Linked DNA regions of Arabidopsis thaliana. The protein of the gene in region 3 interacts with the protein of the main gene of each other region in a biochemical or structural test. Each region holds a gene or a part of one and is shown on either strand. Other genes may lie near its edges.

Region 1 (7,299 bases), on a different chromosome or scaffold from region 3:
CTTTAGCAGAAAAAAAAAAAACACTACTATAATTAGTGAATTGAGAGTATTATTGTCCTTGTATTTAATTTTTAAACGTAAAAAATAATAAGATGGGTTTGATAATGTGAAGGTGAGCCCAACTAAAAACTAGAGACGTGGACCAATGGAAAAAAAGTAAGAAGACTCTTTGGTTTCTGACATCTTCCCCCACAAAACACAAAGTCGATGTGAAAGCAAATAATAGTGTTCGTCCACGTTACATCGACAATCAACGGCTGAGATTTGGTTTCATTATGTGTCTGTCTCATCGAGGTTGGTTCGTGTTTTTGTTTTTGTTGGTTGTGACAGTAATGGAGCGACACGTTATTTCGTTACAACTACTTTTTTCTTTTTTAAAACTTTTGTAATCAGAGGACTAAAGAAGTAAGTGGACCGATCATAAATAACAAACTCAGGTGATTGATTATTGGACCTTTGTCACTTCAGGATGGAGAAGCGTTTTCAATTCACCGGTGAAATAAAATATTAGCTGATTTTTTTAAAAAGAATTAAGGTTTTGAATGGATATTGTGGATAAATCGGATTAAAATTTGGAATTATACCAATATTTTCTTTTTTAACGAACATTTTGATTGGTAAACTTTAATCCATTTTGATATGTAAACTTTCTGAGAAGTTTTAGGACTATACCCATATATAATACCAATTTTTTATGTAAGAACTATATGAATTATTTTGTATATAGAGTTTTTTTTTCTTTTTGTTTTGTATATACCACTACAAATTATAATTTTGTGAATGATAAATAAGAAGTTGTCTAATCTACAAACCCATTTTGTTCTCCAACCACCGCAACCATGTGTACCTAAACAAATAAATATTAATTGGTTAATTAGCACAATTGTTAGAGTGAAATTATTATCTCGAATCCGATATAAAGAATTTGTCACTATTCTTTCCAAAATTTCCGATATTCAAAGTGTTGAGATCAATAGTAAAAATTTGAATCCGTCCAAATTGATTTAAATACAATTTTAAAGTTTACATACCCAAAAATCATTTGGTTTCTCTCAAAATATTTAAATATTTAGATATTACTTGGAAATCTGGGTAGTAACAATTTGGATTTGTCCAAGCAACATTTGGATCTAGATATCATAATTTCCAAGTCAACATATCCAAATTCGCCAGATATAATATTAATATATATATATATATATGTAAAATACAATATTTTCATTTCTTTTCTAGTATATAATACTTTATTTTCATAAACATAATCCAATCTTAATTTTACAATTTTAAAGACGTTTTAACATTTTAATTTATTGTGTAGATACAATGATTTTTGGACGGAATTCCAAAGTGAAAACAACTTATTTTAGGAACCTAAAGTAAATTAAAACAACATAAATCCTGAAAAGGAAAACAATTAGTAAGTGAAATTAGTAAAATAAAAACGAAGAGGGAAAGTGACGCAAAATACAAAGATACAGAGTATATACCATTTTATTAAAATAATTAGCAAAAGTAGTATTTATTCAAGATTGTTAGGAGCCAGAGAGACACTTGGCTCACCAGACAAACTACCTAATCACCCAAACGAAGAACCAAACATTTTGAAATTTTTTGGGAAAATTACAAAGCACACGAATTTAGCAAAAAGGTAATAGATTTTTCTTCTCTTTGTGTGTATAGAAGAAACTGTGGTTTTTGTTCATCTTCTTTTAATTCTTTCGATTTATGTCCACACTTAATTTTTGGATAAAATTACTAATTGTGCCTAATACTTGTCATAAACGCATTCATATTCTCCTGTTGGTTTAATCTGTTTTTATCCATTTGACTATTAAAGTTTTGAAATCTGTTAGTGTTTTTGAATTGGGTTTTGCAGATTTCTTGATTTTTATTTATAGATTAGGGTTCTGATACTAAAGTTTGGATTTTTAAACTAAAGTTTGGATTTTTTTTTGTATTCATGGTTCAGATCCAGTTATTAGGTGGAAGCAGATTTTGTAGAAAAATGGATGGTAGTATGAATTTGGGGAATGAGCCACCAGGAGATGGTGGTGGAGGTGGAGGGTTGACTAGACAAGGTTCGATATACTCGTTGACGTTTGATGAGTTTCAGAGCAGTGTAGGGAAAGATTTTGGGTCAATGAACATGGATGAGTTGTTAAAGAATATATGGAGTGCTGAAGAAACACAAGCCATGGCTAGTGGTGTGGTTCCAGTTCTTGGTGGAGGTCAAGAGGGTTTGCAGCTGCAGAGGCAAGGCTCGTTGACTCTGCCTCGAACGCTTAGTCAGAAGACGGTTGATCAAGTTTGGAAAGATCTATCCAAAGTTGGAAGTAGTGGAGTAGGGGGAAGTAACTTGTCTCAGGTGGCTCAGGCTCAGAGTCAGAGTCAGAGTCAGAGGCAGCAAACATTAGGTGAAGTAACTTTGGAGGAGTTTTTGGTTCGTGCTGGTGTTGTGAGAGAGGAAGCTCAGGTTGCTGCAAGAGCTCAGATTGCTGAGAACAATAAAGGCGGTTACTTTGGTAATGATGCCAACACAGGTTTCTCTGTCGAGTTTCAGCAGCCTTCTCCACGAGTTGTTGCCGCTGGTGTAATGGGAAATCTTGGTGCAGAGACTGCAAATTCTTTGCAGGTTCAAGGTTCTAGTTTGCCTCTGAATGTGAATGGAGCTAGAACAACATACCAGCAATCGCAACAGCAACAGCCAATCATGCCTAAGCAGCCTGGTTTTGGTTATGGAACACAAATGGGTCAGCTTAATAGTCCTGGGATAAGAGGTGGTGGTCTTGTGGGACTTGGAGATCAGTCTTTAACGAACAATGTGGGCTTTGTCCAAGGTGCTTCTGCTGCAATTCCTGGAGCTTTAGGCGTTGGTGCTGTGTCGCCTGTTACGCCATTGTCATCAGAAGGGATAGGGAAGAGTAATGGTGATTCTTCATCACTCTCTCCGTCTCCTTACATGTTTAATGGTGGTGTGAGAGGTAGAAAGAGTGGCACTGTGGAGAAAGTTGTAGAGAGAAGGCAAAGGAGAATGATAAAGAACCGAGAATCAGCTGCAAGGTCCCGGGCCAGGAAACAGGTTAATCTCTTCATCACCATCTATCTATGTACTCTTGATTGTGTTATAAGCCAAAAGATATGTAAAGTAAATTGGTTAGCTTATCTTGTAGTTAAGTTCTTTAACCACAATGAAGCGTTGAATTCAAAGCGTAAAGTGTCTTGTGTGAAGTAGTGTAGTAAACAACTAAACAGAATTATTGGGACTTGAAATCAGTACTTGTGGCTGAATGAATCTCGCAAACAAATATGAACCTTCTGGTTTTGGTGTATATACATGTTGCCCATCCGCAGATATTCACGGCAGACCAAACAATATACTGGAATGTAATTTGCTAATGTCATGAGGTGGCTCAGAGTTTAAATGAGTAGTGAGGGTTCATCGTCAAAACCTGAGTAGTGGCGACATGGTTTTTCTTTTGGGGCAAGGTAATGGGTAATTGGTGCTCCCAAAAACCTGTTACATCTGACATGTACTATGACCAAACTGTTGAGTTCTACATTTGAGGGTCTAAATGTTTTGAATGGCACTCTAGTCTTTATCTCATAAGCTTCTCAGTCGTGCTTGTTTTGGTTCATAGGCTTACACCGTGGAGCTTGAAGCTGAAGTTGCAAAGTTAAAGGAAGAGAATGACGAGTTACAACGAAAGCAGGTAATCACAAAACCATGTCTCAGCATCACAGTTGCTCATACGTTACATTCATTTCTCATTGTACGCCTCATGTTTTACAGGCAAGGATCATGGAAATGCAAAAGAATCAGGTAATAATTCTTATGCCAATGCAACAACACTGGAATCTCTAAACTGCACATTTCATAGCTGAACTTGTAAACTTGGTTGTTTGTTTCCGTGCTATGTATAAAACAGGAGACGGAGATGAGGAATCTTCTGCAAGGAGGTCCAAAGAAAAAGCTGAGGAGGACAGAGTCGGGACCTTGGTGAATCAATCAATGCCATCATACTTAGTTTCTGTAGATAAATGACATCCCACTTAGGTGTTTTAGTTGAATTAGACTTAATAGAGAAGAGCTTTCATCGTTTATATTGTAAGCTCTCTCCATATATGTTATGTTTTTTACATACACAGGATCATCAGAATCTCTTTTGCTTTATTTAGACCAAGAATTTTGTGTGTGTTTCTCGTTGTTGTTTGTCGTTGTCGCTATTAAACCTCAAAATGTACTTTCTTGATCTTGGAGTTACCAATTTTGAAGAATTGAAGTGTTGTTTGGTTTCTCTGAGTGCCAAAACTATGACCTGTGCCAACACAGCATTCTAGCCTTCTAGGCAAGCGACTATAACCCAAACCGAACCGAACCTTGGTCATTTCGGACGGATGAGGTAACCGAGTCGGTTTGATGTGGTTCACTGAACCGACAGTTACACAAAGTAAACATTTGTACTGAAATTTATGTATGTATCAAAGTAAAATTCCTCTAAATTCGATAACCAAACCAAACGGGATTAATCATTTGCATGGAGAATAAATACATAACCGAACCAATTTAACCGATGACCGAATCGAACCAAAACCGACTTATTCGGTTTGATTTTTTAGTTACTAAAAATGAAAGTGTTCACTCTCATTCTCTCCCACTTCGTCGCTCAAATTCTCCCTAATTTCACCTGCAAAACCCTAGTTTTTCGTTGATTCGTTTCGTCTCCGGTGTAAAATCAAATACTATCTTTAGGTATTTCGTCTTACCCAACTCTATCTTTCCATGTTTTCCGAGGACAAAATAAAAGGTTAATTATTCATGACTAACGTCTGTAATGGGTTTTATTGTGATGTATGTTTGAAATTTGGAACATTTCGATATAGCATTGTGTTACTAATGCTTTTGAATTTGTTAGAAACGAGCAGTAAAATTGGTTTTTTCTTCATCTTTTTTTTCAAAAATTTGGACTTCTCTGTGGAAATTTCTGGGTTTTGTCAATGTTAGTGAACAAATTTCCTTATTTTATTGTCTTCTTCTTATAGTGTTTCAAGATTTTTTGTTTTTCTTTTTGTTGCATAGGTTTGAAAACTGATCACTCTTGTGTAACCTTTGTTTGTTTGATTTTGAATCCAAAGACTGGAAACTGATATTTTTCTCCTCCAAATTCTTCAGAAACGATCAGAGAAGATAGAAATGGCTCCCGAAGGTCCCAAAGGAAGAAAAAATGTAAGCTTTCTTGCTAGCATAGACGATTGAACACTACAGATCAGTGTGGTTCGGGACTTGGGTTTCATACTTAAGTAAGCTTTACTGTTACGTAGAGGATTAAACAGAAGTGTGGTGGAGGTTTAGGAGAATAGAAGATCCACTAGGTTTCATACTTAGGTTTCTGGTTTGCTTCGTTTGTTCTTGAATTTTCGCTTGTTTCAGTTGATTCTCAATGAGAAATAGATATCTGTTTGATAAGTTTGTTTTTCTTCAACTATGATTTTCTCGCCTTTAGAGGGTATTAAATTGCTACTTTCTTCTTCTTGTTTTGCAAGCAGATTGGATTGAGGCGTGAGGATGCAGCACGAGACCGCATGAAAGAGTTTGGGTTTAAGAAGCCTGTTATCAATGCGAGTATCAAGCAAGTGCTAAAGGTTTGTTCGTTAGTTTTAGAGTTCTCTATCTGCCCTTGCTAGAAAAAAACTTTACTTCAAACTTCAAAAGTGACACTTTACTCAATTTGGATTTCAGGTGTATGGTGAGGACCAATGGTTTCTGATTGAAGATGCTAACTATGAGGTCTCCTTAATATTTCCCTTAAAAAGCAAGAGGAACAAGCCTACCGATTGGCGGCCGAGGAACACGAAGAAACAGCTCAGGAAGAACCAGAAGAAGAAAAGGTGATTTGTTCATCTTGGTTACAAATTTGTTTCTTTTCATTGTTGGTATTAGTTTTGCTTGAACGATCAGTGGTTTCTTGAACCTATATGCGTTATTGATCACTAACGAAGCAGTCATGGACTCATCACCATCAGCTTTTCAATTCGTAGAAGCACCACCAGTAGATTATGCACACCATTCTGTTGGAGGTATACTAATCTCCATAACAATCTCAATGCATGAATCATTCTTTAACTGAGGTCAAAATCATTCTGTAGGTGCGCAGAGTTCTCACTGTGGATGGCTAAGCAGTGAGGAGGAGACAGATCCAGATAAGGATAGTGATGAGATGATTCAGCTAACTCCAGAACCTCTCTGTGAAGAACTTGAAGAGATTCTCAGAGAAGTATATGGACAGAAGAAGTTGAAGTACAACTAAAGTAGTCATAAGCTCATGTAACTAAAATTGATATATATTGGAGTTAGAGTTAAAAAACTAGCAAGTATAGTGAGAGAGTAAGCTCATCTTCACATGATCTTGCAATACGGTTGTGTCTTAACTAACGAATAAGAGTGCACTTAATTTTCATTGAATAGCACAGCACAAGTGAGACTCTCTTCTCTCGGTCGTCATCGTTATTCTAATGATTTGCCGACACAAGAGAGGCGATCTTTCGTTAATTTGGTTTGACATGACGTAGCCTACCACATGTTCGACGAAATTCCGAAACCAGCTTTCTTTTCTCAAATCTATGGGACTGGATCCACCTGAAATGCGAGATGAATCAAGAATTCCTTCTTAGGAATCAGTGGATGCGTTTCTTCCACTAAAGTGGGTAAGTATCTTCATTCTTTGCTCTTTCTAGTTCATTCTGCTATGTAGTTAAGGCACAAAAGTATACATTTTGTGTATCTGTCAGTTTCAGTGATGATTGAAACTGTTTATTGTAATGAAAATTTAAGAACAAAGCTGGCTTTGTTTGACAAATCAGAAACTATAGACCTGGCACATTACTATATGCAACTGTTCTGAGCTCCCATTTCCTAGAATAAAAGAGTCAATGGGGCATTCCCAGAATCGAAGTCGGGACCTGTTGTTGATAATATATAACTCAATGCACAACTGTCGTTGTTGAACTTGGATACCAGTTTTAAGCTGTGTTCTTTTTTCACTTCCTGCAGTTATCTCTTGGATAAATTGGCAACATTCAGCTAGTGATGTTCTTGGTTCATTCTGACATCGAGAAACTGTTTTCTTGCTGCACAATGTGATCAAGTCAATGGACGTGAAAGCCAAGGTGCGTTGTGATTCTCATTTATTTGTTGCATTTCAGCAGTTTATACCAAACATGCGTAATGGGAAATAGTTTTCTAATTTAAACATTCTAGAAATTGTGAGAAAATGCACTATAGAACATATTTTGCCATGATAG
Region 2 (8,860 bases), on a different chromosome or scaffold from region 3:
TCTACATTCACGAATAATTTCATTCTTTTGTTCTGCTATGTTTTTTTGTCTTGCCAAATTCCTTACCAAGTTATGTTATGTTTACGACACCAATACACTTAATAGACAAATGTTGGCTGTCAAAACAAAAAAAAAACAAAAAACAAATGTAGTCCCAAAGTACATTATTATTAGCGATAAAAGACAGCCAGAAGGGGTAAACGGGCCAAGAATGAGGCCCATTAAACAGAAGGAAACAAATAGTTAAAAGAATGAAACGTGATTTTAATAGGACCTACACGTATTAAACGCTTTTTATCGTATTGTTTAGCTTTTTCTGCTGTAGCATTACGGGTTCACCACCAGTGACTGGCTGTGATTTTAACTAGTTCAAGAAATTTTTAAAAATACTAAGAAAAAATATGTAAGCTAGCAGAAATATAAAAAAGATCTCATAAATCTATTTTTTTCTATATAAATGATCATCAAATGGGAAAAAATTAATACAAAAATAGCAAAAAGATTTGTTGGTTGGTTTGTGTTTGGAAACAGACATAGATAATGTAAGGCCATGTGATGGATAGCATTATCTCACACTCATTTAATGTCGTAGGGTCGTGATTGTGAAATGTCGTAAATAACCCAACCCTTTCTCTCTGCACGCAACTTCGACGTTACATAGATTTGGTATTTTAGGTTTTCACATTTCCCCATCCGTACACCCCATGTTACGACTTACAAATTTTTAATTAGCTTTCAATGACACAATTTTTAATAATACAAATCATTCTAAACTGATTTTAAAATAGTAATATTGAAACAATAGTTTTATATATGTTGGTTAACGAAGTTTTAGGCTCGAGTTCCTTTTAGCCAACGCATTTTCTGATACTCAAAAGTTGTTTATATTTGGATAGTTGATAAATGCTACACGAACTAAAATTTGGTAATGGACGACGACAGTCCATAATTGTTAACGGAGTTTCTTTGTAGGTCCTTAGACAGCATACATATGGTTCTTTGCGTATTTTTCTCGTCAACGAATTATATTTTTCAAACTAATCACAAATCTAAGGATATAGTTTGAATGTTATTTTGGTTCTATGTTCTTGTCCATTTTTTATATGATTATCTCCACAATACTTTATTATTAGTTACATTCATATTTCTTACATCATACTAATTCAGAAAGAATCAACTCCACAAAAACTAGAAATGTGAGGTAGGGTTTGGAGTGTGTCTAAACTTCAAGTGGTACAAAAAAAAGTCGCATCATTTTATGGATTCATTGACAAAGAAATATCATAGAACTACTATTCACGTGAAGGTCACGTGGATCATTCTCTTCAACTCGACGACTATTCCATAATACCAAAGAATAAAGTTTTTCCCTTGCAAACAAAACAACGTGTACAACCTCAAAAATTATGTTCCAAAATAAAATACGAAAAAAACTCAATAATTCAGCTAAATTCGAACCGTAGCATAGCATGTGATACTGATACTACGACAGTCACGTCACATTTTCATATATGTAGAAACTATATACCTAGTTGAAAAGTTTGTACAGTAGATTAGGTTTCTAATAAATTTGAACTCATTTTGGATTTTATTATTTTAGTAAATTTAAATTTATTATTTGGAACGTTTCTTACCCAAATATGTGTTACATCTCACTTTGATGGACGCATATAAATATTACAATTTGTTTTTCATTTTTTTGTCACGCTCTCTCTTATCTCAAACTTCATTTCGTTATAATTTTTCAACTTCTAAATTATCTTGTTTACGACAAAGTAGAGTTTGTCATTATCTCTAATCACTTCAATACTGTCAATCTCAGCTCCATCTTCATTCGTCACCATCGTCTCACTTCCATCAAACCCAAACTTCTCTCCTGTTTTTAGCACATGCACACCAAAACCCGGTTAGCTCAATAAACCAAAACCAATTTGAACCGGTTTAACACCATATAACCTAAACCGTAATTTGGTGTTTAAACTCTAGTCACTTGTGTAATTTGTATCTTTACCTGCAATTTTCTTGAGGTCATCAAGTGAAGGAGGAAGAAGAATAAGCTTCCCAGCTTCATTGCAACTTCTTTCTCTCCTCTCCAATGGATGTCCTCTGTAAATACTCACTCTTCCTCGTTCTTCTTCTTCTTCTTCTTCCACAACTCTTAACTTCTCCAATGGTGTGAATTCATTATGTGTATTCACACAAACTACATCTGCACCGTTCGTCGCCAGGAGATTCACCATGTCCATCTGATCCTCCGCCATAGCGACCTGTAAAGCTGTGACGCCATGGTGATCCTCTGTGTCGACGTTAAGCCCCTGTTTTAAAAGAGCCTTCATGACTTCTACATTGTTCTGTTTCGCTGCTTCACATAGAAGATCTCCAGCTATGTGTGGATCCGATATGGCTGCGAAATGATAAAGGATTCTGAATATCTCGTAATGCTTCGATATTATTGCTTCCCATAGAGCACTATTACCATTCACATCTGCAAGATTATGATAAAATCTTGTTCTTAAAACATATCAGTAGAACATAAAACATAACGGTTCTTAAGTATGATGTGTTTACCTCTTATGTGGATGTTGCAACCGTGCTTTAAGAGTACTAAAACACAATCTTCATATCCTCTAGAAGCTGCTACATGCTGAAACATGAATATAAGACGACGAATTAACGGCTGTGATGATGATTATGAGTAAGGGTTTTAAATGGCTTATGGTGAAAGCAAAACGTTACCAATGGAGTTTTTCCTTTGGAATCTGTAATGTCAGGGCTTAACTTAGCCTTAAGTAGCTCATCAAGAAGAGCTGCATTGCCTGTAGTCACCACAGCGATGAGATTTGAGGCAATGTTAGGAGGAACAACATCGGTGTTTTCGCCATTTTGTTGTGCCTTTAGATCACCAATGTCTAAATTACTCAGCTTTTTGTGATGCTGCAAGAAGTTCTTGAGCATTGTGGCATTGTCTTGTTGTTTAATCTGCATTGTCTCAATAAGGAAAGATGTTTTGAGTCGGAGAAGCTGTGATAAAGACTTAGTTTGAAAAGTGTAGCTTTGTGGTCTGCAACAAAGTGCTCCAACTTCTCCAAATATGTCTCCACAACGTAGAGTGCCTAAAACAGACTCTCTCTCCATCTCTGAATCAATGATCTCAACTTCTCCTGACACAATTATGTAAACATCATCCGGCGCTTCGTTCTGCATAATGACATCCTCTCTTGGTGGTATATACTCAGCCTTCATTTTTGAAACCTAATCACCAAAACCTCTGTTTAGAAAACTTATCCAGCAAGCCAAAACTCAACCAATCATGTCAGAAAATTAACTCACCAGAAGAAGAAGTATTTCTCTTGAGACGCCTTTGAAGAGGTAAACTTTTTCAACAGATGGAAGAAAAAGATGTTGACAAATGCTTTTGTAGATAGATTTTGGGAGCTGGTCAATAAGATGTTGCTGATTTAAGCTCTCTGCTTTAAACCTTAAACACATGTAAGCTAATATCTGGTCTTTTAATCTAGGAGGCAATCTGTTTCTGTTAACAAAGTTTGACGCTGCTTCAATGCTATTCCTCTGCACCACCACAACAACAACATAAGATCTTCCTTGAGCAAACTATACAAACAGAAAAGACTTAATCTTGTATAGAGCGTGAGACTCACAAATTCCATGGTACGACGAGTCCCTTCCACGACCAAATTAGTCATGTTACCAATAAGGTAAGCAGTGAGGCCAAGATTGAATAACATGTAGACTGTTATGAATACCATTTCAATAGTGTTGCTTGCATGAAGATCTCCATATCCCACTGTGGTCATTGTAGTGATAGACCAATATATAGCTGCAATGTATCTGATGGAAAGACTTGTCTCTGTGAAATTAGGGATCGCATCAGTCCATGTCTTTCCTTGGTGTGGATATCTGTCTGCTATTAGGTAATAACTGCATCCAGCACAGTGCACTAGAAACAATGTCACCTGTAAAACACTCAAACCTCATCATGTACTGCAACTACAAAATCTAAAGAAATGTGATCTTGTTCCTTCACTTATAAGTTATTTACTCACTGATAGAAGTCGAAAGCAGCGAATCCAGAAATAGCTATATCTTATGTCCTTCTCGAGCCTAAAACAACACCAAAAATAGAATCATTTTGTTACCTTCTTGATCAGAGACATGACATAGAGTCATAGGGAATTAGTGTACCTAGTGAAGAGGTGTTTAACTCTTCGAAGTCGCCAAAATCTAAGTAATCCCAAGAGATTACAAGTGATATTTAACGTGGATGTGCCAGTGATTAAGTATCCAATAGCGTCAAATGGTATAGTTGATGCAACATCCATCAAGAACCATGTTGATAGGTACCTTTAATGAGATATTAAAATAGCATTAAGCAAGAACTAACACATTTATTTAAAAAGCTTTCTTTTCACCTAATATATATAAGTAGAATCTTTCTGTTTATTCCAAAAACAGAAATCTATCTAACTGATTATGAAAATAAAAGAATCACATGGTGTGGGCTCAACAGTCACCTAAACCTTGTCTTCTTCCACTTAGCTAAAGATATCAGATCAAATAAAAAAGGTGAAACTAAGATCATGAATAACAATCACTGACCTCACTGCAATCTGTTTAGGTTCACGGACAAGAAGCTGTGTTCTTTCGTCTATGTAAGCAACGAAAAACGTCAAGACAATGTCAACCGCGAAGAACAAGTCTACGATGTTGTCCGCGATACAAAGGTTTCTCTTTGGTGATGAATTCAGAAATGCAACTTCAAAAGGGTAAACCCACGCAGAGTATGCCACTAAAAGCACCATATAAAATTCCCAGCACCTGAATCAACCATTTAACTTCTTTACGTTATCACTAATTCAAGCATTCTTTTATGTCACTGAGATATAAAGAATGTATTTTTCAGGTACTCTGTTTCATCAATATGGATGGTACCTGTATCTTGAGTCCATAGGTGAGATGATCCATCCACTAGACCTGATGTGATTCTGGTTATAGCTAGCAACACCAAGTGGAGGAAGAATAAGTTTTGACAGATTGTTCAAGCTGAGAGAAGAAGCATCATACTCTTCTTCTCTTCCTTTTCCTCGATGCTGATGAAAACGCCTGAGCTTCATGTCTGAGGATAAGTTGCAATGAGATGCTGAATACTTGAGGTCCATTATATTTCTCCTGAACAAAGAAAATTTAGCACTAAGAACAAGAAAGAGAGAGGGAGAAAGAGGTTTTAGTAGATGATATAATAATTGTAATGAAGAAGGAGTTTGTGGTTTGTATGATGCAAACCGTACGTGGTAGTGGTGGTCCTATTTGTTAAGATTGAAGTGAAATTGGGTAAGCTTTTGTGGGGAACACAAGTTTTAATTTTGGAGGGATCCAACACAATCAATAAGGCAAAAAAAAGTTGATTGATTTTATGTTTTGGTGATAAGGTAATGAAGTGTGAAAGATGTGGCCCCAAACGATAGAGAATTATGCCAAACGTGGTATAATTAGAAGCCTTGAGGGTCCCAATATATCTCTCCATTAACAAATTTAAACTCTATTGAGAATCTAATCAGAAGGAGATTAATTAAGAGGAGGACATTCTAATGCTTCGAGAAAACGTTGTGTGCACTTATTAACATTTGACTAGCGGGAATGTGAAGCAGAAGAAAATGAGAGATAAAGGAATTAGATTCTAAACCGGGACCACTTTTAGGTGAAAAGAAAGCTGATATATATATTTCCTTGTGTGTGTAGTCATCGTCGGTATAGTATTCATCTAGATTGATCATATATTCTTGAAATACCTTTAGAAACAATCAAATGGTTAGGTTTTAAGAAGAAAAAAAAAGACAGGGTAAAGAGGGATGACATTGTAATTGACCGACCTGTTTGTCCTCTGTTATAGGAGAAATCGTCTTTAAGATCCCACTAAGTATCACACTTGCTACATTTGTCTAAACAATTTGTTTTAAGTAATAAGAGCAACATCTATTGGTGAGAAATTAAAAACGATTGATTCTTCAATAATTAACACGGGATCGTGGATTATATTTTTGGAGTTAAGTGATTCTCAAAATCATTACACTAGAGACTAAGAATTTGGAAGTCAATTCGAGTATATTTAAAACCTGATAATAGATTTGACGAATCACCCTACAAGCAGGCAAATTGATGTCTCCGACGATCGGAAACAGAGCACAGGAGAGGACACGTGGAAGACTGACGTTCAGTGGCGGGTTTCTATTTTTTTCAAAAGCGCGCGAAGAAGATAAGAAAGGGACAAAGGCAGACCAAGTATGAACCAAGAAAGTTTGCAATTCGACCCTTTAATTTCTGAATATATTTAATTCACCCTTAATTCTCTTAAAAAGATTTCAAAAGACCTTTTCAAATCTAGGACTTGCCATTTTAAACGGAAAATTGTCATTTAATAGTCTAATTTTCGATTGACAAAAAAAGAAAGAAAAAAAACAAACAAACAGTTATTAAGCTTTAACAGATTTTCTAACATTTTTAACGATTCTCTTAGTCAAACCAAAACGATGTCATTTAAGCTCTAATCGATTAAAAATTAGATCTAATGCAGGTCTCGTTACGTATATTATACAAAAAAAAAAATTAGTGTTATCGTTGACATATGTGATAGTGAGTATTTTCAATATTTTAGACTCAATGTGTGTCTCGTTACGTATACTATATAATAAAATTCGATTTTATTGATGCTAATGACAGATGTGATTTTCAATATTGGAGAATCATTTTATTGTAAATATGTTGACTGAAAGTTATTTGATCTATTTACTCATCTACATATACATTTTTGCAGCACTTTTATGAAATAAATCCTCAAGTTGAGATTTATTTACCATCCAATGCCATTAGCATTTAATATTTTAACAAATTTCTTCTCAAATCCAAATATAAATCAATTTTGTTACTAAAATTTAGAATTAAAATAAATATATCACAACAATCATTTAAATCTTTCCAAATCTAAAATGTACTACACACTAATATTCTTTTTTAAAGAGATCTATTAGCATTAATGGTATATTATTATTGATATATTTTAACTTTATAAAACATTATTAATATTTATCCTTATAAAAAGATATTAAAATATTATGAGACGAGTTATATAGTGGGACGGGTTTGCATTGATATAACGCGGGTTAAATCTTTATTTATTATTCTATCATCACTAATTTTTTTTTTACAATATTAATATAAAATTATATAATTTTAATACTAAAAATTTAAAACCTTAAAATTTAAGATTATTATATATATAAATAAAATATTTGCTCCGTGGTATACCACGGGTTAAATCCTAGTTCCAATATAAAATTGCATAGTGATGTTTTCTTTAAAAATAAATACAAATAACATAAATAAATAAAATAAAATAAAGTTACATGTTTGAGCCTCTCATTTTCCCTTCAGTGCTATAAATTCAGACTCCTTCGCTAAATAAATCACAAAGCGGAAAAAAGAAAGAAGAATTGAGAGATATCTAGTGTTTTAAAAAAAAAAGAACTGAGAAATCAGCAATGGGGAGCTTAAGAGTGAGCACATTTGCTGTTGCAGTAGTTGTATGTCTCTCCATCCTCCTCATGTCTCCTACAGGTACGTAAATTTAGTTAAAAGAAGATTTAGAATAAATACATGTTAATGAAATGTTGCATCTTTCTATATATGGACTGGACACAAGTAGATGGGCGTAGAGTGTGTGACAGCGCAGCGGGTTTATGTAGTATGTTGTTCTCTTGCAATACACAATGCAATTCATTGGGCCGCAATTTTACTGGAGGCGAATGCTCAGATGCTCGTTTTCCTGGTTTAAGTGTCTGTTATTGCTGCCATAATGTAGAGAGCAGTGCTGAAATGGAAAGCATGTGATTGCAGATGCTAGAAAACGACGTCGCTTTGTGTGTGTGAGTGTGTGTGTTTTGCTATTTGCATGTTTATGCTTTCATTTCATCACATCATATGTTTTGAGTGTTTTGCCTTGTACTCTGTTGTGCTTCTGTTTGTTTTGCGTTGTCAAGTCTCCAATAAAGTTGGAGTGTTTCCGTTGACAAACGTTTTTGTTAGTTCTTGTTGTATTTAGCTAACCAATGTTTTTAGATTTTTTTTTCTCTTTTTCTTTGTGTTAAACACTAATGTACATGTTTTTGTTTTCATAAAGTTTGATGCATATTAGTTAAAAAGGGGTTACTTGTTTGAACATACAACAAAAGTTAAAAAGGTTACTAGTAAGCTAACTAAAGTCTTACAAATGTCCACTCTAGAAACAAAACCCACAAATTCACAAAAGACGGTTAGAAGCCCAACTAGTAGAGACCAAAAAGGTAGTAAGCCCCACAGGAGTAATAAGCCCTGTCAAGATGAAGGGAGTGACGAGGAAACAGATAGCTAAGGGTCACTTGTTCATCGAAGATTTTAATCGTGGTTGAATCAGGTTGACCCAATGATCTGGTGATTTAGAAGATAGTCCAACTTAACGCTCGAATCAGGTTTAAAAATATTGGTTTATGTAGTATTTTCTTGAATCCCATATAGTATTTTTACTTTTGGTAAATAAATGTATTATTGAAATATTTAACATGAGGGTCTCGTTACATATATTATATAATAAAAATATTTTATTGATGCTATCGACATGTGATGGTGAGTATATTACATTATTTTAGATCAAATGCAGGTCTCGTTACATATATTATATAATAAAAATATTTTATTGATGCTATCGACATACAGTTAGTGAGTATATTTCAATACTATAGACCAAATAATAGGTAGGTGAGTGGATGCCTGGATTAGTGGAAATATTTTAACAATTATTATTCTCTTACGC
Region 3 (6,814 bases):
ATTTTCGTATCATTATGTAAAAATAAGAAAATTTCCTTTGTTAAATTTAGTCGAAAAAGTAAAATTTCCATTTATTTTTAACTGCATATATATCAGCTTAAGTAATTTCTTCTTAGTAGAAGGTCAAATTTTAGAATTTCATTGAAACAATGGAAAAGGTTTCAAAACTCAGTATTATCTTCCGTGACGAACTACAAAACTTCAACAATGACTATGTCGAAAATATAGATGTCGTCGGCAAAAAAACATCTAATTCATCATCGGACAATGAAAGCGACCAATTCGCCAGCTTGTTTGGTTCTTCGTCACCGTCTTCGTTTCAAATGCCTCTTCAGTACCCGAATTACGCAAAGGAACAGTACGACATTATGTCGGAGGAAGAACTCGATCGACTTCTCAAACTCTATGGTCTGCCTACAGATATCGGTAACTTGTCCTGCAAAAAAGAATTTGCAGTGGGTGCATTCTTGTGGGAGACGGGGTTAAATTCTTCTCTGGATGAGCATGATTCAGTAAACCCTAATTCGTCCATTGATGATTTGGAAGAGAGATCTTTGATAGGGTTAGTGACAGTTCTAGTAAAGGATATGGTTCAATTTATATTCCGTGGGTAGCAAGTTAAGGAAGTGAAAGCCTAATTTTGCTTGACCCTAAAGTTTCGTTTCTTGTTGTTTATATGGATGGATTTCAATTATTATGATTTACTATATCATATTATTTAATTTGCTTCGCCGTAAGCTATCGTCTGTTTCCTTTTCTTTTCTTTTTTATCGTCTGTTTTCTTACAACCGAACAAAAGTTAAAACCAAATTGAATAGGGAAAGAAAAATATGGTTTATATATTGCGGTTTGGAGAAACTAGTCGGGACAAGTTTCTTCTTAAACAATATATAAAAAGGACCAGCGACTCTAGCTGAGAGAATAATCTTGTTTTATATGTTTTAAAAACTGTATACCAATGAGAGAAACAAAAGCTTCAAATAAAACTTAGCTAGGACCAAAATCGACCAAGAAGGATAATAAGAGCAAGAGATAGACTTTGAAAACAAAGTAAAATCTATCTAATTAGATATAGAAGCATTATCTAAAAATATAAATAGAGAAATTCTAAAACACAAAAACAGTTTAAAGTTTCTTGTTGGGACCATTCTTCACTATGAAACTGCATCATAAATTCATAATCTGAGAGACTGAGACCCTTTCAAATCATTAAGATGATGATGTTACGTTCTGCTTATGGTGTTCTTATATGGTTTGTATTTGATTAGTATTTCTTTACTTCAGTTATTTAAATTTAAAGTCATTTTAATTTTTTATGCTCTTTAATTCATAAATTCATAAATTCATAAAAGAAAATATTTTTTTTTAGAATGTGTTCTACGTTTGGAATCAAATATCGTCAGTAAACAAATCCTTCTCCGTTTTATTAAACCTTTGCATAATATACAAATTTAAAAATGAAAACAATGATTATAGGTTTTACGGCCTATGCATCTTTTCTTTACCTTTTATCATTGATGGACTACTACAGTTGGTGAAAAGTCTTATTTAACAAATTTAGTCGAACAATTCACTTGTATGTTTGCACCGTTGAGCTAAAATCGTCTACCAACTATATTTGGTTTAAAATGTTATTTTTAACAATTTTAGAGCATTTCAATTGTGTATTTTGTAGTGAATATAGCTATATCTTTCAGGCAACATCGTCAAAAGGCTGACCAAGTTTCTCTATTATGTCCCAAACACATGTAATTAACGACATTTTAAGTTAACTTAAATCTATACTAGCAATGGATTTTATGTAGGAAAAAGTATAAAGTTAGTTGTTTTGCTAAAACTAGACTTATGATATAAAACCAAACTTATTGTTAACATTTTTAATGTAGCACAAGGAACTCACGATGTCATGTAAGCCTTCCTCAATACTATAAAGTAAGAACCATTAGGGACATGAATAGATATTTAATAAGACAAATTGAGACAACATTATGATGTATAGCGAAAAAAGGGAAAGAATAATTGAGAAAGAGAGGTCAACATCAAATCTTGGAAACCAAATCTCACATAGACCAAATAGACACGTGTTGCTATTTGATTGTCACAAGTAGGCATAATCTTATCTAAGCTCCCACTTGTGTTGTGTCCCTCTCAATCCCCAACTTTTATTGTGTTGCCCTCTCACTCTTTCCACAAACCCAACAGGCAACAGCTAAAAAAATCAATCCATCATTATAACATTATGCGAATTCCGATCTAATAATTTTATGGCAGTGCCTTATCTTTTGATGGTGAAATCTCCAAACTTCGACCAATTGTGATGTATTGGATTATCCAATCGAACTTTTCACGCGTGGGGATATAAATTTACCGTAGTTTTGGTTCAAATGTGGTATTTTCATATCCAAAAGATGCTAGGTTTACGAAAAATGTCTTCAACAAAACCCCATAATAATTGTTGGTTTAGAAAACAAAACATAACCTAACGTATGATTAATACCTAACAAACATTAATGTGAAGGGTTTATAAAAACATGATTGAATAGAATAAGATTTTATTATCTGGTCATTGTGGCAACTGGCAAGTGGCTAGTAATGGACGGTTAAAAGTATGTATTATTTTTTGTTCAAGTTGATATTAATTTATTTATAAAAGAATGTGAAGATCATATTCCTTTTTCTTACCCTCCTAGTTGATATTTTCTAGTCAATTTAATCAAAATCTGTTTAATTGATTATTGATTCCGACCTTAACTGACATTAAGCATTCGACAATGTTGCCAGACAAGTCTCTTAACTTAACTATCTTCATTAGTATTAAAAGAATTAATAAATCATTGTACTTTCTAGTTCTTATATTGATTGTCCAGATTAGTCTCTTCCACCAAGATATATATATATTTTTGTTGATTTATGTTTCTAATATTATCCTTGAATCTTTTAATTACAATTATGTGCTAAAATGCCGCGGTCTACGACACGCGAGTCTCCCATACGACCCCATACCAATAAAATAAATAAAATCTTCTTAAGATAGGGGAAGATTAGTAAGTAACCGGTTTGGATTCAAATCATCGTCGAGACTCATACTAAACCAGTTCGGATCGAATAACATTAACCGAAGTTTTAAAATGGTAAATACGCATAATCTGTTCTTTCATTTTAACATTTTTCCCCTCTGAATTAGATTATTACATTTCCAACGACCATACTAAAAGAATACATGTATAATATTACCTGAATAGAAAAATAAGAAAAATACTCAAACTATTTAATCAGCTCTTTTTCTTCCCCAGCCTGAATTAAGAGCTAACTAAAATAGAAAAGAAAAAACACCTTAAAATGAGAAAAACTAAAATAGAAAAATAAAAAGAATACAATTACAATTAGGCTATGTAACAATTATTCTAATACTACTACTAATTATAACACTAATTATTAAGACGACGCTTGATTATTCCTCCTCTTCCTCAAGTCAACCACAACGACGCTCACGTTATCGGAGCTCTGTCTTGCTAGAGCCAACTTTGTTAAGAGCAACGCCGCATCGGAGCACGCATTGTGCGCCGCATCTGAGTCGTCACCCGCACCAGCACCTCGAAGGCACATGCGAGCCACGCCACACGCCGTCTCGTTTGGTACAACATCCCATAGTCCATCACTCGCCAAGATCAAACACTCATCCTCATCAGTTCGATCCGTCACTGTTACCTCCGGATCCGGAATCACATACGGTTTCAAGTAATTATCACCTATACAAACAAAAACAATAATCATCAGATTAAATTCAAACGTGTAATTCAAAATAGCCTAAAAAGTCAAATCACAAGAGAGATTCACTCACCAATTGCTCTAGACATGGCAAGAACTCCAAGAACCCTAGCTCCATCCCAATATATAACTCGCCCACCAGCTTGTTGGATCCGAATCAATTCATCGGGTCGATCCGGCTGTTCATCACAAAACAAAAACTCTTAGAACCATGCCATCTTGATTCATACTAACCAATTCGTAATTCTATATAAGACATAATTTTAACTACCTTGTGATCTACGGAGAGAGGAATGGCTACACCGTTACGACAAAGCACAGCCCGTGAATCACCGCAATTAGAAACAATGATCTTCTCCGGCGTGACAACCGATACAACAGCGGTGGATCCGACGGCGTCACACTGAGGAGACTGCAATTCACATCTACAAGAATTTTTCATACTCCGAGTAGCACCATTAACAACTAAGTTACACTCTCGTTGGCTAACTTCTTTATCCATTTTTTGAAAACTCTTAACCATCGTCTCTGTCCACTCGTCGGAAGCCATAACTTCAACTTCCTTCTTCACTATATCATGCAACCGTTCTCTGCACTTCTCCGCAACCTAAAATCAACCAAACAAAACCCTAATTAGTAACTAATCACAAACAAAAGAAAAAAATATTACTAAACAGAGGAAATTAACGTACATGAGAGCAGCCATGGCCGTCAAAGACACCGTAGAAATGATGATTCTCAGAGTTCCGTTGAAGAAACGAAGGATGAATCGAGACAGCGTCTTCCATGTCTCGTCTTCTACCACAAACCGACGTCGTACCGATCTTAGGTACATCGGAAAAGAAACTCTCTGCTTCCGTAACAGAATTTGAATTCGTAACCGCTGATCTAGCCTTCTTATTCTCACTCCTCACATTCGAATCCAGATCTAGATTTCCCGGTAACGTCGAGAGCACTACTGTCTCACGCTTCTGCCGTTTACGGCAGTTTTCAAGCGGAGGAGCAACGGCGGAGTCAGCAACAATTTTGATCGACGGAAGTAGATCTAACCTCCGTCTAAGAGAAGCTCGAGAAGTTGAATCAACCGGTGCCGCCGGTTCAGTCTCTCCAACAACACCGCAACAAATCCCAGCCATTTGATCTCTAACAAAACTTCTCCAATTTACAGAGCAAACCAAAAACAAACAATCTCCGATTATGAGTCTTCTTCAACAATAGAGAGAGAGAGAGAGAGATATTAGTAGAGAGAGATTTTGTTGAGCGTTAGGAAATGCAATGTGATTTTAAAAAGAAAAGGTTTGATTTAAAAAGAAAAGTTGAAGAAGAACGCAAAAAAAAAAAAGGGTTTGATTTTCGCATGGAAGGGTTACACGTAATTAACGGGCAGGGGGGCATGAATAAGGGGAAGTTGCTGACCGTCAGCATCAACGGGCAGGATCCGACACGTACCGTTTGGTGTGACGTTCCATTTCCTGGTACCTAGATACAATCTAAACCGTCCATTCTTTCTTTTTTCCTAGATCTATACACGTGCCCTTTCTTTCTTTTGGATACGCCGTTAACGTGGCCCAATCACAGTTCGACACACCTTAACGGTAACGACCGGCCTTTCTTGACACGCATGTGGTCCACTCTTTCGTTTTGTTCTTTTTTTCTTTTATTTTGTTTCATTTAAATACGCTTAATACAGTATTATGCTGTTAATTAAGATTTAAATAAGTCAGAGGTCAAAATAATGGCCATGGGAGAGAGACAATCTTGTTATAAAATACTGGTTTTAATTATTTTGTCAACTTTTTTATAAATCAGAATAATCACTATGAGATTAATGTAATCGATAAAATCTCTGATAGTAGAAAATTATACAGTATGAGAAAATGTAAACCCCTTCTTTTTCTAGTTATGGAATCCTGAATGGTGAATACTCTGATAGTCTGATTGGTAATGCCAAACAGAATGATAGGTCAGCCCCACTACCCTTAAAACATATAAGAAAAATCTAGTAATATATACGATATGGTTCATATCATTTCACAAACCTAAGCAACATCAATAATACATTTGAATGTTTCCTGTGTTATTTTAAATATTGAACAAACCCGCTTCAATTTGTACAAAAGCGATGCCTCTGAACGTACTATCAAGTATAAATTTGCTTCTAAAATAACGCATCGTGAATCCGTTCCGTGATTACATATTAATCGAGGATATAATTGACATCCAAACTAAAGAAAATTTGCTTCAGAAATAACAATTTTGATCCTATTTGTACAAGAAATAACAAATATATATATCGTAAAAGGTTGATTGTATTGAATTGCCAAAGAGACTATTTGTACAAGAGATGTTGCCTAAAAGAAGATAGAAACGTATCTAACTGAATCTAGGAGAAGAGAAGATTAACATATATTCTAACTCTGATATTATTTCACACATGCAATTTGAAATGTTTAAACAATAAGAGTATATTTATGCTTGAAATTCTGAAATGCACATAAACGAAAATAAATTGGAAAATAGTTACGTGTATCTGATGAGTTCAAACCTCAGCATCAAACACTTCTTTTTTGGTTTTGAATAATTAAAGGTGGGCATTTGGGTTAAGTTCGGGTAAAACCCGATTAGATATGATTTTTTTGGATATAAAAGTTTAAGATTCAATGGGATAAATCCAAAATATCGGTTTGGTTTAAGTTTGTATCCAATCGGTTTTTAATCGGTTTGGATATAAATTTTCAGGGTCCTTTTAGAACCGATATCCGAATTTTTGAGTAAATACCTGAATTTTTGGATAAAATTTTAGATTTCGAATAAATTTAGATTTTCGAATAAAATACCGGTATTTTCGGATTCGACTTAGATTTTTTGGATTAAAAAATTTAGGATCCAATATAGTAAATCTTCGGGTTCAAGTTTAATTTCGAACCCAATATAATAAATCTTCGGCTTTGGTTTTTTTTCTAGTCCTAGTTTTGATGTTAGAATTTCATAACTTGGAAAACGATTAAAACCTACACCACAATCCATAATTACATATAGAAGACTT
Region 4 (7,605 bases), on a different chromosome or scaffold from region 3:
GTATGTTGTCCAAAGCAGACAAAGAGATCATGTTTAAGCTCGGTGCTGCAAGGAGCCAACATGAGGTATATACAACATTCTTCATGACTTCTTTTTCTTCACCTACCTATTTGCATTTATCAAATCTAAGTCTCTATGAAGGCACAAATAAGGCAACAAGGAACACACGAGACATTGCACCGTGACATGATTGTTGGATTTGGAACTTGGGAGTTCGATCCAATGGAGCTCGAGAATCTGTTCCCGAACAATGAAGGATCAGTGCACTTGTGGCAGGGAGATGATGATGTGCTTGTCCCTGTGACTCTGCAACGTTACATTGCGAAGAAGCTGCCATGGATCCATTACCATGAGATTCCTGGAGCAGGGCATTTGTTCCCGTTTGCTCCAGGTATGGTTAATAACATTGTTAAAACGCTCTTAACCAATGATGGAGTGAAGAAGTAAACGATGTCTTCTCTCTCAAAAAGTTGGCTAGTTTTGGTTTTGTAACATGCATTGCTATGATATTTTGAACCGGGATCAGAGAGATTCATGAGAATCTCAAGTTTCTCTTGGTTGCTGATATATATTGTGGGTGATTAGTAAAGAGTTCTGGTACCTATGTAAAACATTCTCAGCATTCATCTCAAAAAGCTGTTTCTGTATATCACCCAATTTTAGGCTAATGTCAACTAGTTTAATATTAGGCTTAGACAGCCATTAATTGTGAGATGTGTCAGAACAAAATTAGGTGTATTAATTGAATTATGGGCCACTTGTGTTTGTGTTTGCATGGTCTAAAAACAATCAAAGGAAAAAAGTAACTAAAGAGGCCAATATGATAATTAATAGTTAAGTTTATATAAAACCGCATTAGGCTAATTAGCATCAATCCGACCTTAGCTCAGTTGGTAGAGCGGAAGACTGTAGTAGTTGCTGTAATCTTTAGGTCGCTGGTTCGATTCCGGCAGGTCGGATAATCTTTTTTATTTTTGTTTTTAGTTTTTTGGCTATTAGAAACACTTGATAAATTAAGCATTTAAAATTCGATAGTCCTTATGCAGTGAATAGTCCACGTGCACTCCCAATGGAAGTTCGGAATCATGTTTTTTTTTTTTTGTCAAAGTTAAATAAAATATCTTCGAAAAAAAAAGTAAAAAAGGAAGAGGATAATTTCTCGACTTTGATTTGTTTTAATTCTTTAATAAGTTTTTGTCTCACTAAACGTAATTCTATTCAAAATCTAACAAGTCTACTTTCACCAGCTAGAAGCTCAACGACAAACAAGTGTTTACAAACTTTGACTATTTCTTTCATAACATCTTGAATCTAACCTAAATATGTTTTTACCAAAGTAAATCAGTATTGATCAATCAAATTAATCCGTCAATTTCACAAAACAAATCATGAACCAATATGTAAAAAAAGATCACACTTTAATTCGCTCTTCTAATCCAAATTTCACGTTCTTATTATCTTATATATGCTTAAAAGAGAGAAAATCATGTCTAGTTTTAGACGTAAAAAAACATTTGTGTAGCCGAAGTCACACGTGTCGAGCCTGTGAGAAGACACTGCAAGAAACAGAAGAGAGACACGTGCAGGACACGTGTCGTCCGCAGCCGAACGGATTCTTTGTCTCTGATCATGGGCCTGGACCTGGACCTGTCTAAGTTAGCATTCCATTGGTCGAAAGATAACTTTAGACAAAAGATGTTGACCTTCACGCCTCTCTTCTTAGACCCCACGCGCCACACTCTCACGGTGAGAACATAAATATCAATCTCTCTTTTACCGCCTCCTACCCATTTATCTCTCTCTTTCTCAAAACCTTTCAGTCAAAATTCTCCGGCGGCTTTTAAACTATGTGAAGGAGGAGAACCTCCATAACAAGAAGCGGATTCTCTCAGTTTTCCGGCGGCGGAGGAACACAAAGCCACCGGTTTTTAGACACACAGATTTCATTTTCAGGTTAACACTTTTCTTGTTTTATAATTTTTCAAGATCTTGGATTAGAAGACTGTTAAATAAATCTATCTCTTTATTTATAAGTTTAGGTCTTCGTTTTCTGGTCCTTACTTATCTGCGTATTACCAAATATTAAACTTTGTGGTAAAGTGATACTTAGTAATAGACGGATATAATGATGACCCAAGCTAATGATTAATTTATTTTACTAATCATCAGGTTAAGCTCTAGATTATCTTTTGTTTAAAACCGTATTAATAAATGATTAAAGAGGAAAAAAATCTTGTGTTGATAAGTTCGCTTTAAGAAGAAAACGAGTGGGTTAAGATATTTTCCTCTTTTGGTAACGAAAACTTTATTGGAAGAGTAAATTATTAGTTTATTTATTGCTAATTTTAGTATCGTTTGTCGCTGTCACGATGTGGACCGTTCTTCTTTATTTTCACGTGGACCGACTTAATTACCTTCTTTCATTCTTGTTATTTCAATATTTTTTACGTCATTTAAACTCCACTTTACCAAAATAATTTATTTCATTCTTTGAGAGCATCAATTATCAAATAATTCAATTGTCTTTTTTCGTGATAGTTGAATAAGGGACAACTATTAAGTGAGTTTCGTGAATAGCTGAACAGGGACAAGTAACTGAAGTTTGGTCAAAATAATACGATGAATTTAATATATAAGAGACAAAATTGTTATTGTCGTTTAGGTGGTATCCATATTTCAATATAGTTTGTGTGAATACAGATATAAAAATGGTTATTGTTGTGTATATGATGCAGTTGTTAAATGGTAACTAGAGAAACGAAGTTGACGTCAGAGCGAGAAGTAGAGTCGTCCATGGCGCAAGCGAGACATAATGGAGGAGGTGGTGGTGAGAATCATCCGTTTACTTCTTTGGGAAGACAATCCTCTATCTACTCATTGACCCTTGACGAGTTCCAACATGCTTTATGTGAGAACGGCAAGAACTTTGGGTCCATGAACATGGACGAGTTTCTTGTCTCTATTTGGAACGCAGAGGAGAATAATAACAATCAACAACAAGCAGCAGCAGCTGCAGGTTCACATTCTGTTCCGGCTAATCACAATGGTTTCAACAACAACAATAACAATGGAGGCGAGGGTGGTGTTGGTGTCTTTAGTGGTGGTTCTAGAGGCAACGAAGATGCTAACAATAAGAGAGGGATAGCGAACGAGTCTAGTCTTCCTCGACAAGGCTCTTTGACACTTCCAGCTCCGCTTTGTAGGAAGACTGTTGATGAGGTTTGGTCTGAGATACATAGAGGTGGTGGTAGCGGTAATGGAGGAGACAGCAATGGACGTAGTAGTAGTAGTAATGGACAGAACAATGCTCAGAACGGCGGTGAGACTGCGGCTAGACAACCGACTTTTGGAGAGATGACACTTGAGGATTTCTTGGTGAAGGCTGGTGTGGTTAGAGAACATCCCACTAATCCTAAACCTAATCCAAACCCGAACCAAAACCAAAACCCGTCTAGTGTAATACCCGCAGCTGCACAGCAACAGCTTTATGGTGTGTTTCAAGGAACCGGTGATCCTTCATTCCCGGGTCAAGCTATGGGTGTGGGTGACCCATCAGGTTATGCTAAAAGGACAGGAGGAGGAGGGTATCAGCAGGCGCCACCAGTTCAGGCAGGTGTTTGCTATGGAGGTGGCGTTGGGTTTGGAGCGGGTGGACAGCAAATGGGAATGGTTGGACCGTTAAGCCCGGTGTCTTCAGATGGATTAGGACATGGACAAGTGGATAACATAGGAGGTCAGTATGGAGTAGATATGGGAGGGCTAAGGGGAAGGAAAAGAGTAGTGGATGGTCCAGTGGAGAAAGTAGTGGAGAGAAGACAGAGGAGGATGATCAAGAACCGCGAGTCTGCTGCTAGATCTAGAGCAAGAAAACAAGTAAATAGAGACCTTCTTCATTCCTTTTATGATGTTTCTTGTTGAAAAAAATCTAATGTTTGTTGTTGTTGTTTTGGGAAGGCATATACAGTGGAATTGGAAGCTGAACTTAACCAGTTGAAAGAAGAGAATGCGCAGCTAAAACATGCATTGGTATATATTTACTCATCTCGTTAAAGAGTTTATTCTTTTTGTGAAAGTGAGTTTGTAACAATTTAGCCTTTGTTATGTTTTCATCAAGGCGGAGTTGGAGAGGAAGAGGAAGCAACAGGTAAAGACACCTATTGAGTTTGCATTACTAAGATGGTTGCAGTATTTTGGTCAGAAGAAAACTACAAAATGGAATTGTTGGTTTATGGTTGCAGTATTTTGAGAGTTTGAAGTCAAGGGCACAACCGAAATTGCCGAAATCGAACGGGAGATTGCGGACATTGATGAGGAACCCGAGTTGTCCACTCTAAACAAACAATAGGAAGATGGAGAAGAAGTCGGAGACAGAACGAGGGAAAAACTGATGATTTTCTACGTTGTTGTTTTGTCTTTGAGGAATGAGGTTATAGAATCTTTATACTTTGATGTTTTCTGTGTTGGTAGGAGGAACACCATCTGATCTGCTTTACTAGTGTTCCCTGTGAACAAAGAAAGTGATTCTGTGTTTCAACATCATCAATCTTTGGAAAATATAACGAGTGTTATGCTCACTTGTAGATTTAGGTACACTCTGTTTCTGTGCACTACCATGAAGAGTCTTAATTTGGAATGACACAATGCGCAAGACAAAAGATACTCGGGACACAAGTCAGATAGTTAAACCTAGTAACCTAGATAGATCAAGATGCAAATTACATTAGAGTACTGCTTAACATTCAGTAATACAAGGAGAGAAAGAGCAAGGAACAAAGTAAACGTGAGAGAGAGAGAGTGTTGTCTTCTTCATGTTGATTTGTCTATTGCATTCTCTGTGGAACACACTCTTCTCGAGTCATATACCTTCTCCACTTCCTCTTCTAGCTGCAACAACAACAATCAAGAACAAGAGAAACAAGTTAGTTAGTGATTGAAAGTAGGGTAAATTTTCTTAAGATTAAGTCGAAGAATTAATTAGAACCGTTTCGGAAGAGCACTGAGATCGTCTTGATCAGTGTCAACCGTGTTGGTTTGGAAGACTCTGTAATCATGTAACTTACAAAATCAAACACTCTAAAATCACTAATAACCCGTACGAATCAAGTAAACTCTAAACCCTAGAAAACTCTCAATTCCGAGAGAACAGAAATGCTTACTTGGCTTGACAATGGATATGGATCTCAATGGATGTTTGGCATGTCTTGATGGATTTACCACGCCAGCCCTGTTTCTTCTTGCACACAGTTCTCTCAACCTTCTTGATGACGTAGCAGCCGTCGGAAGTGGAATCTCCGAGCTGTTGATCGGTGATATCGTCAGAGGAGGAGGAATGGAGGATGAATCTTTTTGCCAGAATCTTTTCTTCTTCTTCTTTTGTGTGAGTGAGAGAGAGAGTGTGAGAATCTTGTAGAGGAAGATGTTTGTGTTTTAAAGTGGCTGACTTTAACCGGGCTAGAGTAATCAACCACACTCACATTTCTACCCACTTTTTTTTACCAGGCTTCAGTGTGGGGTTTTTATTTATCGTAAAATGTTTCCGACTTGGCCAATTTTTATGTCGGAGTTATTTTTGATGTCAAAATTTCATTGGTTTGTTGAAGTCGTAAGAAATCCAGAGTAATACGTAGAAACGAAACCCATTTCCACACACACTTATTCACATTACATTAAATCATCGCAAACGTCGCAAATTGCGAACCTACACGGAAGACAGCCTTAAGATAGTTGTATTTACAAAGCAAATTTCATCGACTACTGTGGTAGAGTAATAGAGTTATATATGTCTTATTATGTTATATGTGTAATTTTGCCTTTCATGTTGTCGTGAATGACTCACCACATCCACACTTTGTCGCGTTTGGATTGACGAACACAAACTCAGACCTGTGCCAATACAATGCAAACATGTTTACCATGAATAAAGAGAGTGTCAAGATTGGCACGTGAAAGGGCACAAACCTAAGCTTATCGTCCACGAAATCCATCTCTGTCCCAATCACATGCATCACCGCCTTTGGATCCACAAGGATCTTTACACCTTTCTCCTCGACCACCTCATCAAACTTCCCTTTCTCCTCTGAAAACAAAGATCATAGCAGAACAACGCCAAATAGGAAGCCTCAGGAGTCAGGACACATTTAAGTCATCTATTAAAAGTTCTCAAAAGTGCTACAAAACAAAAGGTCTTAGGTTCCTAGGAAGGTGACAAAACCTACCCTAAAACTTGACTCTGAACCTGATAGAATATGTGCCTTTAATTATTACATACATCTCTCTAATCAATATGAACTCCCTCCTCATCATGAGCATCAAATATATATCAACATAATTTATGAGGAAAAAATCAACAAAAAAGAAATATATATGTGGGAAAAAATGGAAATTACGGGCGTAATTGAGGACGTAAGATAGGCCATTGCATCCTTTGGCTTCAACAGCAAGGCGGAGGAAAGGTTTTTGCTGATGCTGCAGAAGTTGGCGAATCCTCGCAGCCGCCGTGTCACTCAATGCTAATACTTGCTTTCTCATCGCCGACCAAATATTCGAGGATTTCAAATTTGTGCTAAAGATTTTTCAGAGAGGAAGAAGACGTCCAAGCAAATTTGTTACAAGTTGATATTTAAAGAGCCATTGTACTTTAATATATAATTTAGTGAACAAGTCTTAAGAACTGTTTAGGCCTGTAAAGCCCGAAAGAATTAGTATTAGTAATATATAAAGTTTGTATTGAATATGGGATGATGAAACGATCTAGCTTCCAGAAAAAGTCTTAATTACACAACATAATAATAACTACCAAACGTGTCAACGCTCCCGTATTCGTCCACTAACATTCTCCCATGAACCCTAAGTTATAAGTCCTCCAAGGCTACGATCACATTTACAAGCGGAAAATTGTTGTGTTTGATTTGTTTCTTGTTTTATTCTCACTCTAAGCCTCTGGTTATATAGCATTTTTTGGCGGAAAAGCTAATCGCAAAACATGAGATTATAATTATGCGACATGTCAAATTGTTATGAAAACATTTTATATAATAAGAAATTTATTTGGTATAGTATCATATGAAACAAAGAGTCAATACAATATCAATGTCATTATATGTGCTCATTATGTTAAGTTGAGTCAAGGCACTTTACTAAGAACACTTCAATAATTATATTTAACTATTTCTGTGTATTCATACGTATGATACAAGGTTTGGTGTTCTATATACTTTATCCTCATCCCTTGAATTTTAGTTGGGCCAAAATAATGACATTAAAATTATAATATGTTGCTATATAAAAAATTGTTACAATTTGGATGCAACATAGAGAGATCATTAGCGAGACATTGGGTGGATCGTGCAATTCATTTCTGTTTTGTCAACTAGCAATTCAAATTATGGCGACATTATATACATTAATCCATATTACACAAAAACTAATAAACTATATATGTCTTGGATTCAAATAGAAGAAATAAAAGTCAACGAGTTTGCCCTATAAATGATTCTATGCTTTCAAATAGTTAGCTACAAGCTCATCAATCTCTGCTCTATTAAAAAAAGAAGAAGAAGCAAACACAAAACAACAACAAAGAAATATGGCAAAGCTCATAGTTAA

The links.
Region 1: of the proteins of PP2CA (region 3) and ABF2, one has a biochemical effect on the other in vitro, tested with the Arabidopsis thaliana proteins (one study listed by BioGRID).
Region 2: the proteins of PP2CA (region 3) and KT2/3 form a complex in vitro, tested with the Arabidopsis thaliana proteins (one study listed by BioGRID).
Region 4: of the proteins of PP2CA (region 3) and ABI5, one has a biochemical effect on the other in vitro, tested with the Arabidopsis thaliana proteins (one study listed by BioGRID).

Annotation. Positions count from the first base shown.
Region 1 is NC_003070.9:17,162,122-17,169,420, reverse strand, and holds ABF2 (abscisic acid responsive elements-binding factor 2), read left to right. Parts: upstream 1-1,531; 5' UTR 1,532-1,648; intron 1,649-1,679; exon of another isoform or gene 1,680-1,939; 5' UTR 1,940-1,960; coding exon 1,961-3,079; coding exon of another isoform or gene 3,080-3,232; exon of another isoform or gene 3,233-3,351; coding exon of another isoform or gene 3,352-3,396; exon of another isoform or gene 3,397-3,638; coding exon 3,639-3,710; intron 3,711-3,790; coding exon 3,791-3,820; intron 3,821-3,926; coding exon 3,927-4,001; 3' UTR 4,002-4,263; downstream 4,264-7,299. Other genes in the region: AT1G45248 (Nucleolar histone methyltransferase-related protein), read left to right, coding at 5,192-5,224, 5,545-5,640, 5,738-5,886, 6,001-6,075, 6,145-6,181. UniProt on the Arabidopsis thaliana protein: Involved in ABA and stress responses and acts as a positive component of glucose signal transduction. Functions as a transcriptional activator in the ABA-inducible expression of rd29B.
Region 2 is NC_003075.7:11,744,915-11,753,774, forward strand, and holds KT2/3 (potassium transport 2/3), read right to left. Parts: upstream 5,785-8,860; 5' UTR 5,178-5,784; coding exon 4,951-5,177; intron 4,837-4,950; coding exon 4,618-4,836; intron 4,363-4,617; coding exon 4,204-4,362; intron 4,123-4,203; coding exon 4,065-4,122; intron 3,975-4,064; coding exon 3,660-3,974; intron 3,571-3,659; coding exon 3,331-3,570; intron 3,253-3,330; coding exon 2,737-3,252; coding exon of another isoform or gene 2,671-2,736; exon of another isoform or gene 2,645-2,670; coding exon 2,569-2,644; intron 2,486-2,568; coding exon 2,012-2,485; intron 1,877-2,011; coding exon 1,752-1,876; 3' UTR 1,576-1,751; downstream 1-1,575. Other genes in the region: LCR85 (low-molecular-weight cysteine-rich 85), read left to right, coding at 7,554-7,629, 7,715-7,902. UniProt on the Arabidopsis thaliana protein: Highly selective and weak inward-rectifying potassium channel. Plays a role in both loading and unloading potassium into/from the phloem sap. Seems to control sugar loading into phloem via a voltage-dependent process.
Region 3 is NC_003074.8:3,580,746-3,587,559, forward strand, and holds PP2CA (protein phosphatase 2CA), read right to left. Parts: upstream 5,106-6,814; 5' UTR 4,905-5,105; coding exon 4,461-4,904; intron 4,376-4,460; coding exon 4,040-4,375; intron 3,948-4,039; coding exon 3,842-3,947; intron 3,750-3,841; coding exon 3,436-3,749; 3' UTR 3,037-3,435; downstream 1-3,036. Other genes in the region: AT3G11405 (uncharacterized protein), read left to right, coding at 150-614. UniProt on the Arabidopsis thaliana protein: Major negative regulator of abscisic acid (ABA) responses during seed germination and cold acclimation. Confers insensitivity to ABA.
Region 4 is NC_003071.7:15,201,709-15,209,313, reverse strand, and holds ABI5 (Basic-leucine zipper (bZIP) transcription factor family protein), read left to right. Parts: upstream 1-1,677; 5' UTR 1,678-1,953; intron 1,954-2,653; exon of another isoform or gene 2,654-2,735; 5' UTR 2,736-2,742; coding exon 2,743-3,873; intron 3,874-3,954; coding exon 3,955-4,026; intron 4,027-4,114; coding exon 4,115-4,246; coding exon of another isoform or gene 4,247-4,334; 3' UTR 4,335-4,569; downstream 4,570-7,605. Other genes in the region: AT2G36290 (alpha/beta-Hydrolases superfamily protein), read left to right, coding at 1-65, 142-447; AT2G36260 (Iron-sulfur cluster biosynthesis family protein), read right to left, coding at 5,814-5,883, 5,959-6,076, 6,387-6,528; AT2G36255 (Defensin-like (DEFL) family protein), read left to right, coding at 7,586-7,605. UniProt on the Arabidopsis thaliana protein: Participates in ABA-regulated gene expression during seed development and subsequent vegetative stage by acting as the major mediator of ABA repression of growth.